Struthio camelus: one gene and its partner. The protein of the gene in region 1 purifies or fractionates together with the protein of each later gene. This does not show direct contact. Links are inferred from orthologs where the notes say so. Each region holds a gene or a part of one and is shown in the gene's direction. Other genes may lie near its edges.

What was found. Proteins that work in one complex are often made in the same cells at the same time.
Region 2: the proteins of RAB3GAP2 (region 1) and VAPB purify together in Homo sapiens (affinity purification with mass spectrometry; 4 studies listed by BioGRID and IntAct, counting the BioPlex papers as one, with this or other methods). This does not show direct contact. The link is inferred for Struthio camelus from reciprocal best matches to the Homo sapiens genes RAB3GAP2 and VAPB.

Annotation. Positions count from the first base shown.
Region 1 is NC_090944.1:117,734,711-117,742,058, reverse strand, and holds the start of RAB3GAP2 (rab3 GTPase-activating protein non-catalytic subunit), read left to right. Parts: upstream 1-4,339; 5' UTR 4,340-4,452; coding exon 4,453-4,561; intron 4,562-7,348. UniProt on the Homo sapiens protein: Regulatory subunit of the Rab3 GTPase-activating (Rab3GAP) complex composed of RAB3GAP1 and RAB3GAP2, which has GTPase-activating protein (GAP) activity towards various Rab3 subfamily members (RAB3A, RAB3B, RAB3C and RAB3D), RAB5A and RAB43, and guanine nucleotide exchange factor (GEF) activity towards RAB18.
Region 2 is NC_090959.1:13,524,026-13,531,832, forward strand, and holds the start of VAPB (vesicle-associated membrane protein-associated protein B/C), read left to right. Parts: upstream 1-4,803; 5' UTR 4,804-4,829; coding exon 4,830-4,890; intron 4,891-7,807. UniProt on the Homo sapiens protein: Endoplasmic reticulum (ER)-anchored protein that mediates the formation of contact sites between the ER and endosomes via interaction with FFAT motif-containing proteins such as STARD3 or WDR44.

The DNA of each region.
Region 1 (7,348 bases):
GAAGCTGCACATGATACTGCTACAAATTGGCAGATACTTCAAAAGGGCAGGGTCTGCTTTTGTTTTGAGAACAGGGTTTTGGAGCAACAAATACTGGCTCAGCACAAGACAGTAATCAAGTGCACACTACTGACTATGTTTTGGATGCATATGTACAGATCGAAAACATTTTATTATTAAGCATTAAGCATGTGTCACAATTAATCAAATCCCAACTTCACATAAGCCCAAAGTGTACCAAGAAGGAAACTGGATAACCTTGTTTTATTAATGTAGTGCTAGTCCAAAGTAATTGAAACATTTTCACTGTACTTATCCTGTAGGCACATGGATCGTATCTCTCCCCCATGGGTAAGCAGAGGATCAGACATTTTGGCAGAGGTTTTCCTCTGAACGTACAGATCAGCAAGATGGCAGAGGTGAGCTGAAAGGGGAGAAAAGGGATATCCCTTATTCCTTCCTTCCTCACCTACAGACCTGAGATGGGGATAAACTGCATAGACATCCATTCTGACAGAGATTCCCTTTTCCACTAGGCAGAAACGTAACCGTTTACACATAAGGTAACTATATTTCAGCAAGGCTTACCTCTGTGGAATAAGTGGCAACGCAAAGATGCTAGCGGACATCCTTCGGAATGCGTTTGGAGGATAAGCAATTTATATGCCTTGAGAAGAGCTAGGCACTGATCTGCACCAAAATCTTGAGGGAACAAAAAATACCATAGACTCAGTATGTGCAGCATGTGCACACTGATACCACTTTTGAATGCTACTAGAGAAAAAGGGAAGGGGAGCAATGAATCTGACAAAGGGCAATCTCCTGTACTGTCACAAACATGCTCAGTGAGGTAAAAACATACGTAGTGCAACGTATCTTCTAACAGAAGAAAAACAAATACATGAATATGAAGAGGCCATTTGAAGGGCTGTTAATCACAGTAGATATAGATGCACAAGTACAAGATGTTGCAGTGAGATGGACAACAGGATCTCCACCTCTGCTGGTAGATGGACGAACTACAGAATTTCTTAGTGTTTTTACACCAAAATGGAGCAAGACAGAAGTAGCACTGCACAAGGCTGTAGGTTTCATGATTTTGAATATTCTGAAATAGAAATTTCTGTATGCTACAAACTGTACACGTTCCTCCCATAATGTCTTTGATAATCCAAACAGTGACAAAACAGTGATTAAACACAAGCAAGACTAGAAATATCCCGGAAGTCGGATGCAAGACAAAATTTTAAAAATCAATCAAAAAGCGTGCCTATCACAAGCCGGAAGTTGAGTTTGCTGTTCTCCACCAAGACAAAAGGAGGCTTATCGTTAATCTGTAAAACTTGTTGAAGAAAAGCTTGCCATGAATGCTGGGGCTAAAGCCAGAACCGAATCAAAAGTAAGAGACCCTCAAGTGGCTTTGAGTAGAGCCCCTAAACAGACGAGACCTAACTTCAAATTATGAGATGTCCTCTTTGTTACAATGGAACTGAATCAAGATTCAACAAACATAATTTTCTATAGTGACATACTTTGTTTGAATAAGATTTAGCAGGATCGCAGAAAGGTCAAATCTCATCAGTCAGGGATAGCAGCTACAAGCTACTTTGGCCCAGGCTTTGCTAGTACAATTACATGTGAAAACACTGCTATTATCAAAGGCTATCTCATGGGGAGGCAGACACACATTATTTTGCACACACTGTCCATGCACATCCAAAGCTAAAGGAAAGCTGTACATGCAGTGGATGTTTAGATCACCAGTGCCCAACACTGCTCAGCTTATGAAATGCAGTTGGAATCTTCTCCTGCCAAATCACTTATCAAGTTAATAACATATTCACATGCCAAAAAGATGTGCAAGCAAAAGACGAATGATAAAAAAGGAGATACAATGGAAGATCATTTCAATAAAAATTGAAGGAAAAAGGAGAAATTAAAATTTAATTTGAAATATAAATCTACTGCCCAACAAATGCCCGACAGCGCACCTAACATGGTTTTATCATGAGAAAATATTGTTGAGGCTTTTAACATTTAAACAATAAATGCCATTTTACTTCTTTTCTTGTATTAACTTGTATTGACAAGTAAATGTACGTAACTTGTATGTTATAATGCAAGAGCGTATTTTCTATGGGTGGAAGAACGGCGCTGTGAGAAACACAATTATCACTAAGCATAACTTAGGAAAATGTTATTCTGTATGAAAGTAGCCACAAGCAACTGCAAAAAAAGTATCTTTATACTGCTGGCTTGGGTGATAGCAGCAGCTGAAATTACTGAGTTTGGCTCACTGAATGTTTTGGAGTGTTGGGAGGGGAGCACCAATATCCTGTGTGAGAGCCCCGTGGCACGGAAACAAGGGGAGTGAGTGTGGCAGTCTGAAATCGGATCATCTTTCTGGCTCAAGACTGCCTTCCACAGAATCCAGAGGAAACTGCAGGAAGAAAACTTTGGGGGTTTTCACTATCCTCTACAGGTAATTGTGTCTAGGAATATGCTTTGGCCCTCTATTAAGACCACATCAGTAGACAAAAGTCAAGAAATGCTAAAGTTATGAGTTGGACAGGACAGCATCAATCACAAATATTCAGTGATGAAAAAAGCTCCAGATGATCTTACAAACCTCAATACTTCAAAAATAAAAGTAACAAAAAACAGTAATTCAGTAGACAAGGTATTCAGGTTAGTTCATCAGGGCTTAACTCTGGTTTTAAATATTTGTTAATTCATTTACTGAATCATTCATTGCCTTATTTTATTCATTAATTAGTATCTTGTCACTTTTTTAACTTGACTTCTCTGTGTACAACACATCTGACAGGGATATTACAGTCTCTTGCAATGTTCATTAAGAGTCTCTAAAGAAGAAAATTTTCATAATGTGATAAAAGCATCACCAAACAATGATGAACCAGCTTGTTAATTTAATTTCTTGTGTGCTCTTTATTTATTCACTTGACATTACTAGAGACTTTGCACATGTTCCACATATAAGTTGTCATTAAATGTTTTTTCCGCAGGCTTTACATGCCTAATTAGTGTTTCTTTTTGAAAATCATTAGCCACTCCTCCATACCAGTGCTTTCAACTTTTCCCACAGAGCGACCTTATTTTCCAAGAACTTCCTTCCCATTGGTACACAGCATGTCATCCCTGTTCAGGAAAAAAAAAAAAAAAAACAGGATGCAATAACCTTGTATTAAATAGGCACAGCATTATTCATCTGCTTAAATTCAAAGACAACCTGTGTATTGCCTGGGGCCACAGCTTTAAAATACAAAAACAAATGTCCATGCTGTTGTTAAGGGCATGACTGCTATTGGATCCTGATTACTGTAGCAAAATAATATACAGCTGAAAATGGTAAACAAGTTTCCAGTTGAAGCCAATTTCTTTGGAAAGTGGATAGAGCTTTTCTAGAGGCTACAGCCTGCTACGCTCTGTGCCTTCAGGTAAGTCAGAAGCAATTGCAGTTTAGAACGAAACTTCTAGCAAACGTGTTCAGTCTCAGAAAGTCTTTGGAGATAAAGGTCACCCCGAAGAAGTGTATCAAAGCCCAAACTTTCTATACTTTAAGAATGGTTTATTTGGACTATTTGCTCAGTCATTTCTGCTTTTCACTACTAAAAAAGCACAAACGTTGTTATCGACAATAACAAATAAAAGACGTTTGTGGGACAAGAAGCAACAGGATTTTCCATACAGTTAAAGCCCTGTAAAGTAAGATTTATTAGCAAATAACTTACAGGGCTGCTAACGGGGCAATGTCTGTGGAGCTCAGAAATCACCCCCCCGAATTTTGCTCGCACACGCTTCTCTCCGCCTTAACCCTGGAGGGGTCAGCTGTCAACACGGTACGTTCACGTTAAACACAAGAAATACCTGCTTGCAAAAATAATTAAGAGTAGAAAGCAACCCTGCCTCTCGCTACCCACTGAAGGCGTGCGGTCCCAATCCGCCGCAGCATTTGCTGCCTTTCTGGGTTCTTCACCATCAGCTGCGGACGATGAAACCGTTGCAGCATGTCGCCGCACCTTCCTCGCGACCGCCGCCTCTGCTTCCCTGCAGGTCAGGCCGCGGCCCCGGGGATCGGCGCATCCCTCGCATCCCAGTCACTGCCGCTGCCCGCACACCGCTCACCTCCGCCAGCCGACCCCGCCGAGAAGCCTTCGCTCCTCCGGGCGGCAAGGACCGGAGCGGAGCGGCCCCGCCGGGCCCACACCCTCCCACCCCACCAACGGCCCCCCCGCCGCCGCCAACGGCTGCCGGGGTCACGTGCCCTCCACCGCCCCCACCGGCCCCTGTCCGCCCGCGCATGCGCCCTGCAGAGGCCGTCGGGCGGCCGGGAAGTCGGCGACCGTTTCCGGGTTGGGCGGCCGGCGCCGGGAAGGGGGCGGCGGCTGCGGCTTCGGCTGCGCTGCGACCACCGCCACGACCACCAGCACCATGTCGTGCACCCTCGTCCCCTTCGGCCACTTCCAGGACCTGGAGGCGGCTCGCGACTTCCTGTGCCCGCACCGCCGCCAGGGCAGCGCCGCGGCCGGCCGGGAGAGCGGTGAGTCCGCGCCGGGCTGAGGGGCAGCTGGTGTCGGCCCGGCCCGCCGGGCCGTGCGGGAGGGCGGCGGGGGCGAGGCGGCCCCCGGCGCGTCCCGGGGCGGCGCGGGAGGGGAGGGGAGGCGGCCGCGGGCGGCCGAGCGGCGTTGCCGTGCTGCGGCGGTGACGGGCGCCTGGCGCCAGGGCCGAGCGGTAGCGCAGCGGTTCTCCCTGCTCCCAGGGAGCTTCTGGTGGACGCCTGCCCTCAGGTGCGGGCCGTCGTCCTGCAGGCCGCGGGGGAAGGTCTTTGCCGGCGCGGAGCCTGTGTGCCGCAAGTTCTGCAGTTTTGCTCCTTAAAGGGCTGCAGTTTCTCTGAGGGGCTCCTGTCACAGTCAACAAGTGTTGCCCGCGTAGGCTTGTCTGACGGTGTAAAAGGCACTGCGAGTAAGGTGAACGTTTAGTTCGGGGGCCTGAAAAGTAAATTCGCCTCATGAGAACTGCAGTCTGAAGTTGAGGAGCAGGTTTCTGAGCAGGAAGCTGAGCTGTCTGGAGCAGAGGCTGTCTTCTGGACAGAAGAGAAGGACAGGCAGATCCATACACAGGCCGGACGCTGCAGGGCAATGAGTCACTGCCCTGCCTCTTGTTCGTGCAATGTGAAATTAACTGTATAGGCCAATATTTGCTTTTTTTGTTTGTTCTTTTTTTTTTTTTTTGGCAACTGTGTGGTAAATAAAGAGTTTGGTAGAGGCCCGTGGAGGTGCTTATAAAGACCTGTCAAGTATTAACAGTGCTGTGAGAGAAAGCAGAGAGGCTTACTTAAAGGGTGGATAGGAAAGAGGGGGAAATGGTGCAACGGTTGTGAAGGTGATGTAAAAATACACTTTATGTTCTGCTAGTTAACTTTACCAGTAAAAGTTTTGCATGAATATTACTATAACGTGTTTTATTGTTGTTTTCTTCTTGTGTTCAAGGTTGAAATCGATTTACTTTGTTGTTGAAATGCACTTGGAAGAAAGTAACTTCAGAAGAAGTTTATACAGTCAGATTTCATTGTCATACCTTAGATTATCCAAAACTTTTGCTAGAAAACAGTTATGTGCTACTTTGGTACATGTTGTTTTACTCCTGTAATGCTCTGAAAAATGCGTGCACTCTTGGTATCGTCTAAATCTAAAGGAGAGGTTTTGGAACCATTTTAGAAATTGTTAGTGTTTGTTGAACATTGAAGATAAAGGTGAAAGATGGTAACCCACATTTGTTTTCCAAAAATATGTGCGGAAGAAATTAAAATATTTCTCTCTCATTTGGCAGTGTACATGAGAATAGTCTGTGTTAAGTAACTTCTGCTGAATACTTTTCTTCTGTCAAAGTAGATCTATCAAATGGCAGCTGTAAAGAGAGAAAACTTTTAAAGTTTTGGAAGACTTCCAAAAACGAGAGGAGCAAAGAATGTTCTAAAATGTGCTGTTCTTCAATTTTAATGAGTTGGCTGTGTTCTGGAGTAGTTTTATATTTACTCATTCAGTCATTGAGGCAGACCAGTGTTGGAATCAAGTATTTTTCAAAACACTGCTCATTTGGGTATTTTCAAATCTTTCAGATTTATATGTTGTAATTTATTGATACTGCATGTGTGTGTTTTGTTGATACTGCAGGTATTTTCTTGGTTCAGGATAAATAAGCATAAATGTGAGTGAAAAAGAGTTCCCAAAGCGACTTTTATATAAGAATATAAACTACTGATGTTGAAGAAGAAATTGCTAGTGCATTCATCTTTGACAGGGAGAAACACTTCCAAAACTTATCTCTTATCTTAAGATACCTTCACAAGTTGCAACAGTATCTTTTAGTTAGGGGGGGAAAAAAAGAATTTGACTGCATGGGACGTTAAATCCTTTTCCTGTCACGCTTGTTTCGCCAAGTCTGCGTTGCTGCTACTTTGCTGCCTAACGAACTGAATAGTTAAGCTGCAGGGTTGTTTGGAACATCATTACGTTAAACTGAGCTGGTATAGATACTGCAGCCGTTGCTTGCCTTTTGGTCTTGAACTCCAAGCTGATTCAATTTAGGAAAACACAAGGAATGATCTAAATCTTAGAGGATCTGCTTTCTCTTGATGTAAATGAGAGTATGAAAAGCTGCTAGCTGATGATGCGTGTCAGGAGTTGCTGCTCTGGTTCATTAAGTTTTTCATTCTTTCTTCCTTTATTCTTTTCATCTACATATTATCCTCTTCACTTTTCTTATTAGTAAGCATCTGACTTCTTGCATAGCAGTCTAAAAATTGCTTTGTTTTGTCTTTAGTGATAATTGTATACTTTGGCTCTTACATTGTTCACGTGAAAGAACTCTTTGCTGGAAATAAAGAGTAACGGGAAGTTTGAGAACACAAAAGAATCCTCTGCCTCTAATGTTGTGCACCAGGAAAAGAAAACAAAACATTGTCCCAAGCAATAAAAAAAAAAAATGCATGTTGATATAACCAGAGCAAAGGCAAAGATTTTTAAACTAACAACATCTAAATAATTGTTTCCTATCAGAAAGCTTTATAAAAACTGCTCCCTTGGCAGAATGTATTGTTTTAAAATGATATTTTAATAAAATTTTACATTGGAAAACTTGGACTTTTATCTACATTTTTACTCTTTAAGGGAAAAAGTAGAGAGGAGTTTGCTTATATGTTTAACGGAAAATAGCTCACTTGCAATCACATACAGCTTCTATACTGTACTTACATAATTGCTTATATGTGAATAAATATAGCTTAATAAACACCAAAATTGTAATGAACCTACTCTTTTTGTTAAAA
Region 2 (7,807 bases), on another chromosome or scaffold:
TAATTATATGGCCCAAATATCAAACACAATTAATCATTTGCTGATGACACTTTAAATATTTAAAGTTCATGTTATACTAGCTATTCTTGCAACTCAGGTAAAATCAATAGCTTATTCTAGCTATTAAGTGCCCGTTATAGTTGCGCAGACTTGCTGTGTCTCATTGAATTATTCTAATTTCAAGTGCATCGTTAGTGTTACCTTTATAAGTAACTCATCACTCTCTGTAGACTCCAACTTAACTTTAAAGGAGCAGCATTCAGAGGAAAAGAACTGAAGGTAAAGGCAAGATGTTGATGCGCTGGTGCACTGTAAATGTCATATGACACTCTTTGGTGGTGAGGGGGGAAGGTGGGAGTAAGTCAAAGGAAAGTTGAAGGTTATGCGTCTGTTGAGTTTCTCTAATGTATTGGTGTTCTGTACGCTATAGATACTAACAGCTTCATTGGGCGAGGTGGGAGAAATCGCAGCTATGCGGGTAGCACAAATTTGAAACTTTGAATAGGATATGTCTTTGGTTAGAGTTAAACAAACATTACTTGAAATGCGTAAAGCAGCCCAGAAGGTTTATGCACTTTTTCTGTTAAATGTGTTTAGGTCTCCTGAGACCATTTCCAAAATCTCACAGTCCATTTGATGGCTTCAGCAAATGTCATTTACAGGTTAAGGGCTGTTGGAGCATTTTGTACTGCAAAGATTCTAAGAAGTAATGCAGTTGAAGTAATGAGCATTAATGGGATCAAAGTATTACTATTTCGAGGAAGATCCTAATGCAGTGGTAAGATCAGCATGAACAGCGATCATTTGAAGGTAGCGGGCAGTTGCTTCTCCTAGTTTTGTGGAATTTTGTGCTTTCAATATGATCAACTATTTGCCTTTATTATATGGGGCACATACATTCAGAATCTGCAGTTCCTTAGGATTCTGGAGTTTGTGTGCCAATTTTCAACTAACTGAATTTTTAATATTAAAATCTTAACCCCTCTTTTAAAAGAGGTGTTTAAGGTGGAAACACTTGCTCAGTTTGAGCTATGGAACCATTACAATCACACTCTGCAGAAAAGGACCTGGGAGTCCTGGTGGACAACAAGTTAAGCATGAGCCAGCAGTGTGCCCTTGTGGCTAAGAAGGCCCATGGGATCCTGGGGTGTGTTAGGCAGAGTGTTGCCAGCAGGTGGAGGGAGGTGATCCTGCCCCTCTCCTCAGCCCTGGGGAGGCCTCACCTGGAGTACTGTGTCCAGTTCTGGGCTCCCCAGTACAAGAGAGACATGGGGCTACTGGAGGGAGTCCAGCGGAGGGCTACGAAGATGCTGAGGGGACTGGAGCATCTCTCCTCTGAGGAAAGGCTGCGAGAGCTGGGCCTGTTCAGCCTGGAGAAGAGAAGACTGAGAGGGGATCTCATCAACGTGTACAAGTATCTGAAGGGGGAGTGTCAAGAGGATGAGGCCCAGCAACAGGACAAGAGGCAACGGGCAGAAACTGAACCACAGGAAGTTCCACCTGAACCTGAGAAAAAACTTCTTCACTGTGAGGGTGACAGAGCATTGGAACAGGTTGCCCAGAGAGGTAGTGGAGTCTCCTTTGCTGGAGATATTCAGAACCCACCTGGACATGATCCTGGGAGATATGCTGCTTGAGCAGGGGGGTTGGACTAGATGATCCCCAGAGGTCCCTTTCCAACCTCAACCATTCTGTGATTCTGTGATGTGCAAAAACCAGTTTTCTGAGCTTATTATTTAAAGTCCACCAAGGTGGCAGAATGCCTGTCTGATTTGGGTGGTGGGGTCTGTCTTCTGTTCATCTCTCCAGAAAATATATCCGGGAACAGACTATATTGAAAATGTGTATGGAAACACAAGGTACAAGGTGGCTGCCATAAGCTCGAGGAATGGGGCCATCATGTCAGAATGATGACACAGGTAAAGCATCATAGCAGATGCAGTTCACACAGATGCTTAGCAATTAACTGTGTACACATTGTTACCGTGCATGCTCTGTGCAGTGTCGTGTCACTTGTGAAAGAGCGATGAGGAGTACAGATTTGCACAGGAGTTTTCTGGTAGTTCCTTCTCACTGGAAATCACATTTCTTTTTTTCCTCACTCCACAGATTTTATAAATGAAAAATTTATCAACAGTGGCTGTGCAGGAACGCTTGATTTCATTTTAAATAGGTTAGCTACGTTTGAACATCAGCTTGAATTTTGTTTAGTTGTGCCATATTCAGAATTAGGCCTGGATTGTAGTAAAAATTGCAGTGTGAATCTTTGAATGGATTGTCAGATCTGCTTTGAAACTCAACTGGAAATATGGCATAATCACCATAGTGAATGATCCAACTGTCCAACCTTAGGGCAGCCTACATCTATGAATAAATATCCATTTTTAAAAGCAGCTTGATTTGTATGCATCCAGCCCTGGCAGGTATTGCATCAGATGAGTTTTGTGTCAAATGAGCAACTTCTACATATGTTGCAGTGTCATTTTTGTAGAAGCTAGGTGACCTGAGACTTTCTCTTTCTTGCTTTCAGAATGCCTCTAAACACAGCTTTTTGCTTAGCTGGGGACAATGCAGGGATCAAATGACCCTTGCTAATTCTGCCCACATCTTACAGTCGCACTCATTTTTCACTCTCTTGTTACCATATTGGTCTTGTGTTTGCTCCCTGCTGGCGACAATTAATAACTATAGAAAGCAACTCTGTCAGTTGTACTAGTCGGTACAATAACAGCCTTTTTACTTTTTCTGTCAGTGCAGTTGGTTGGCTTTGAAAGCTTTATTGATGATGTTTGTAACAGTTTTGCTTGTGGTAACAGCTGTTGTTTCAGACTGACATTTCATCTTTGTTTTTGTAGGGAGTATGATCTTTCCCATTATCATCGTGCTGCTAGAAGCCATTTTTTTCTCCGAGTAAATTCTCGTTGATTTAAGTGACAATATGGTTAGATTAAGGACTCTTTCCCAATTCAACTTCTCTCCTCTCTGAAGGAGGAAGTCCTGCACTGTGAAGACAGTTCCCGCAATAAGAAGCGCTGAGGCCTCCCTTCGTTGTCTTTCCACGTGATAACCAGGGCAGAAAAGCAGCCTCTTTTGTGTTTGTATACCAGGATTTACGTACCAGTTTGTCTAAAGTAAGGGCCAGACTCATGCCAAATCTGCCAGAGGGCTTTTGACCCAATATTTATTAAATATATAAATCCTTTCATACCGTTGCCTTGTAGACCGAAATGGAAACGGTTTGTCTGCAGAAGGCATATAGGATATTTTCTGATATGCCTGGACTACTGCTGAGTTTGGAAACGTGGCCTGCTGGGCAACCTTGTCGCAGAGGGCAGTTTGTGCCATCAGTCTGAAACAGCTGTCACAGTTTTGCTGCCATTGAAAATGCCTGTAAAGCAAATCACCATTTCCGTGTTTAATTCAGTGTAGGAGTAAAATGCACATGGATAGGAGTGTCTGACTGTTTACACTAGCAAGACACTCCAGACTCAGTTGGCTGAGTCTGTCCTTCCTGCGTTTTAACTGCTCTGAAAATTGCCTACCTCAACTCTAATTCATCTGGCCTCAAAAAATTTTTTATAGATTGGGTCTTGCTGCAGCCTGCAGTACTTTATCTCACGTTATTAGAAGTGCTTTATGAAAATAATCTCTTTACTAAATTCCTTTAGTGACTAGTTCTCTCAGCTGCAAATGAAGTGCCTCCTGCCATCATGCTATGGATTAAAGATTTCATCGTTCTAAATTTAATCCTCTTTTCTTGGTTGGTTTCCACAACGAGGGGTGGAAAAAATAGAGAAGGGGGAGGTTTGCCTGGTGATCCAGTTACTTACAACACAAATTGTAAAACGGTGTAGGTGTGGGACTCAGTTTCAGTATCCTTTCAACATCCGCCAGCCCATTTGAGTGAGGCTTCTGGCTATGTAGAATAAGCAGGTATCACTGTTGCCTCTCTTTCAATAACCATGACATTGTAGTAACTGTTCCGCTGTCAAAAGAGAGTATGCCACTATTTTCTTTTTCATACCTGGAGAGAGGTGGTATAGATCATATTTGCGGATGGAATGAGCAATGTAATGTGGTGTGTTTGGGACTCAGGATGTGAAAGCACTGTTGAGACAGAGATATACCTCTGAAAGGTAGCCAATTCTTCTGTCAGTCCCTTGTTTATTCCATTGTATGCAGAAATAAATCTCTCTGAAGTTTAGGATGCAGAAAAAGATATTTCTGCTTGCGTGCTTTTGTTGCTTACAATATCTGTAAATAATCGTAGGATGTAATAAAATTCTGAAGAAATCAGCACAAGCAAATGAGCCTTTTACAAAAATTACTTGAAGGGCGTGTTCTTTCCTTTCTCTTGGCAAGCTTATGTATGGCTTCATAGTTCTTAAAACTGCGAAGTCAAACAGTTAATAATCCTCTTCTGAAGATGTAGAAGGTGACAAACATTATATACTAATTGATATCCTGAAAATAGTCTTCAGTCTCATATTTGTGTTTGTGTCATTTTTTTTCCCCCCCATTAAGCATGAGACATGCTCTGGCAAAAACAGGTTGTGCCAAAACAGGCCGGAGAAGGACACTGATTAATCCATCCAAATGGAATAATTTACAAACTGTAAACCCTGCTCCAAGTTTGGCATGTGGAACATGTAGTATAGTTGTTTTTCTCTGTTTTCTTTTTCAGTCTGGGATTATTTTATCAATTAGATAATTTTTAAAAAATAATCCTTGGCATAAACTAATGCACGGGGAGCGATTTGGATGGTATTTTAATTTTTGTAATAATTTTTTCATCAAGGTTTCTACTGCTTGGCACAGCAAAAGTGAAAATGACCATTTCCCGTCCCTTCCACTTCACTTCAAGGGCTCCTTTGGGTGAGGATAGTCATGGTAAGAGTAAAGAAAATGATCCCACAAGGGCACAGTTTTCTAGGTGCTTGTATGTGAAATCTGGGCCGAGATTGAAAGGGTTTACACAGGAATGGTTTACACAGGAATTAAGAACTGCCTGAGTTTTTCTTAAAAGTAGTTCACAAATTGGGATTGTTGGATCCTTTCAGTAAGTTACTTTTGAAATAAGATGTTTATGCAACAGAGGCACTTCTTGTTTTTCATTCTTCGACGACTTTGATTTCAAAAGTTGCTGATGCTCACTTAATTAGAAAGGTCTCCAGAGTCAGATGATGATGATGATTAAAACTTGGCATTCAGTGCTTTTTAAAACACTAATCTTCACAAGATTCTCTGTAATTAGGTAAGTATTCTCCTGACTTCACAGGGAGAGAAACTATAAGGGTCCAAACCTGCTTCTGTTTGGAGTCGCTGTCAACTCTTAAGGCTTTTAATAGCAGAAGATCAAGCCCTTAAGTGATTTGTTTAAAGACAAGTAAGATGGTGGGAGAATTTGATTGGATCTTAGATGTTCTTGATTCGCAGGCACCTGGCTGACAGCTCAAAACGTCTTGCTTGACATTTCAGCTTTTTTCACTTCAGTGTTTATTTTTAAAGGTCATCAACTTTATATATGACTTTAAAGTAAGTCGGGTTACGCACCTAGTATTGAGCTCTCTTGACAGTCTTTGGTTTTGCCATCAGTGTTTTTATTTCGACTATCTCTGTTGCTGATACAGTCCCACATAGATAAAATGGGAGAAAAACGTGGAAACAAAACAGTAAGGTGACTTCAGATACTGTCAGAGGCGTAATAAGGAAACTGAGAAACAACTGAGGTGCGATGGTAAGAAGGACTCTAAGTAGAAAGGCTGAAACATGCAGATGGAGGCATGCCTGAGCTTTTGGATGTTTGTTTCATTGGGGGTGCTAATGCTTACTCAGGCTCTGCAGTAAGTTCCCATCCCAGTGTGAGGGGCTGAGGAAGCTGCTGGGGAGGCATTTCCATGCCCTGCGGCCAGCAGCAGGTCTGTGACGGGAAAGGGAAGTGTCATATTCACCTCCTGTACTTCCACCCCCAGATGCATGCACATAGTAAACCTGACTCTTCCGGTGGATGAATGAATTGTTGGTCCATGTGGACTTTCAGCAGTCAGGACACATCTTGCTAATAAGTAGGATTTGGGCTCTTGAGAATAGCTACAAAACAATTTAGGTTTCCCCCTCTCCTAATCTCCACCTATTGAAGGCTCCGTGGTTACTTTTCTGTGGCTGACCAGTATATGCCAGGTGATTAATGACTTCCGTCTGACACGTGGACAGGATTAGACAGTGGTGAAATAAGTCTTTCTCCTCCTATTCTTGCTTTCTGCTACTTTCCACAAAGGAGCAAGAGGGATTGCCTCAGCAGAAGCACTGGTTGTATTTCTGCCTTTACCAATTACCTTGCCTTTGGATATATGTCTGTGTTACTGAGTTGGAGTGCAAAAATTGTTGTCTGGGGAAAGGTGATGAAAATGCATCTAAAACATTCTGGGAATAACTTGGGCAACTTCCTGAGAATTTATTCTTAGCCTTGTTAATCAAAATGATTGCCAGTTTAACATCACTTCAGTGAATAGATTGTATCGAGTGCTACTGCAGCACATTTGCTCTGAAAGGCACCGGTTCAGTAAATTGTTTAGGGGATGCCCAGCTTTAAGCAGATGAGAATTTGCATTGGATTCAGACACAGAGAGTTAGGCACGTGCCTTAATTACTTTGAACAGACCTGTCAGCATGGCAAGGAAAAGTGTGACTGCAGTGCGTACACCTAGACATGCCAGCTTTAGCTTACTAAATGTGAGATCTCATTGCCTTAATTTGGCAGAAGTCTGTAGTGCAGGAAGATGCAGTTTTCCTGATGCTGTTTTCTGAGTGCTGCACGGTCTGCCTGGAAACTGATTTTCCTTTTTCTCTTTCCCGCTGCCACCCCCTCCTCACCCTTTCTTGTTACTGGATTAATTTTCAGCCTAAGCAGTTCCATAACCTGACTGTCTGTCAGCTCGACAAGCACAGTGCAAGTAGCACAGGTAAACGATGGGGATGAGAGCAAGACAGACTGCTGCAAGGCTAACGTGGCCGTGGGACTGTGCCCAACTAACATAAGCAGTTAATACTGAAGATATAGTAGTAGTATGTGCACGTGCAAGTCTGCAGAGGATTATGCCTCTTTGGTTTGAAAGTTTCTGCCAAAGCCTCTGCTACCAAATCTTTGCTTCTGTTGACACTCGCGCTAACTTTCCTTTCACACGCCAAACTAGGTTACGGCAGTCATATTTGCATTAGAAGTACACGTGTGTGAGGGTTGTTAACTTGTGGTGCTGATGCAAGGAGGTTTGGTTAAGAGGAGAAGAATTTTATTAAGATTCTGTGCAAATGATGTAGCTGTGTAACATGTATCACTTGCTTCTTACAGTAACCGAAACTTAGAGAAAGTACCGTGATGCACAAAAAGTGATCAGCCTGGATTTGCTGTTACAAGCATGTGCCATGTTTTTTTATTGTGATGAAGCTTATTTAAAATGTAAATAGAGTTGACATCATGTTCTTTTGACCTAATTCTCAGGCTTTTGTATTATTACCAAAATGATCTGGGATATTATAATGCACTACACTGCAGAATGGCACTCTTAGGAAAGATTGATACAGCGCTGGTGTTTGAATAGGAAATGGAGCGTGGCAAATTCTGAGATAATACTGTGATCTTCAAATGTGAAGGGTTGTATGCATAGCCCCTGGGTGGAAAGCTACAGCTGTAGTTTGAAACTAACCCTGATGAAAAGTGATTCTATGAAAATCAGTTATACATCTTTCAGTTACACATCTTGTTGGTTGTTGTTACATGAACATGGGATATCTTATTTTCTTTTTTTTT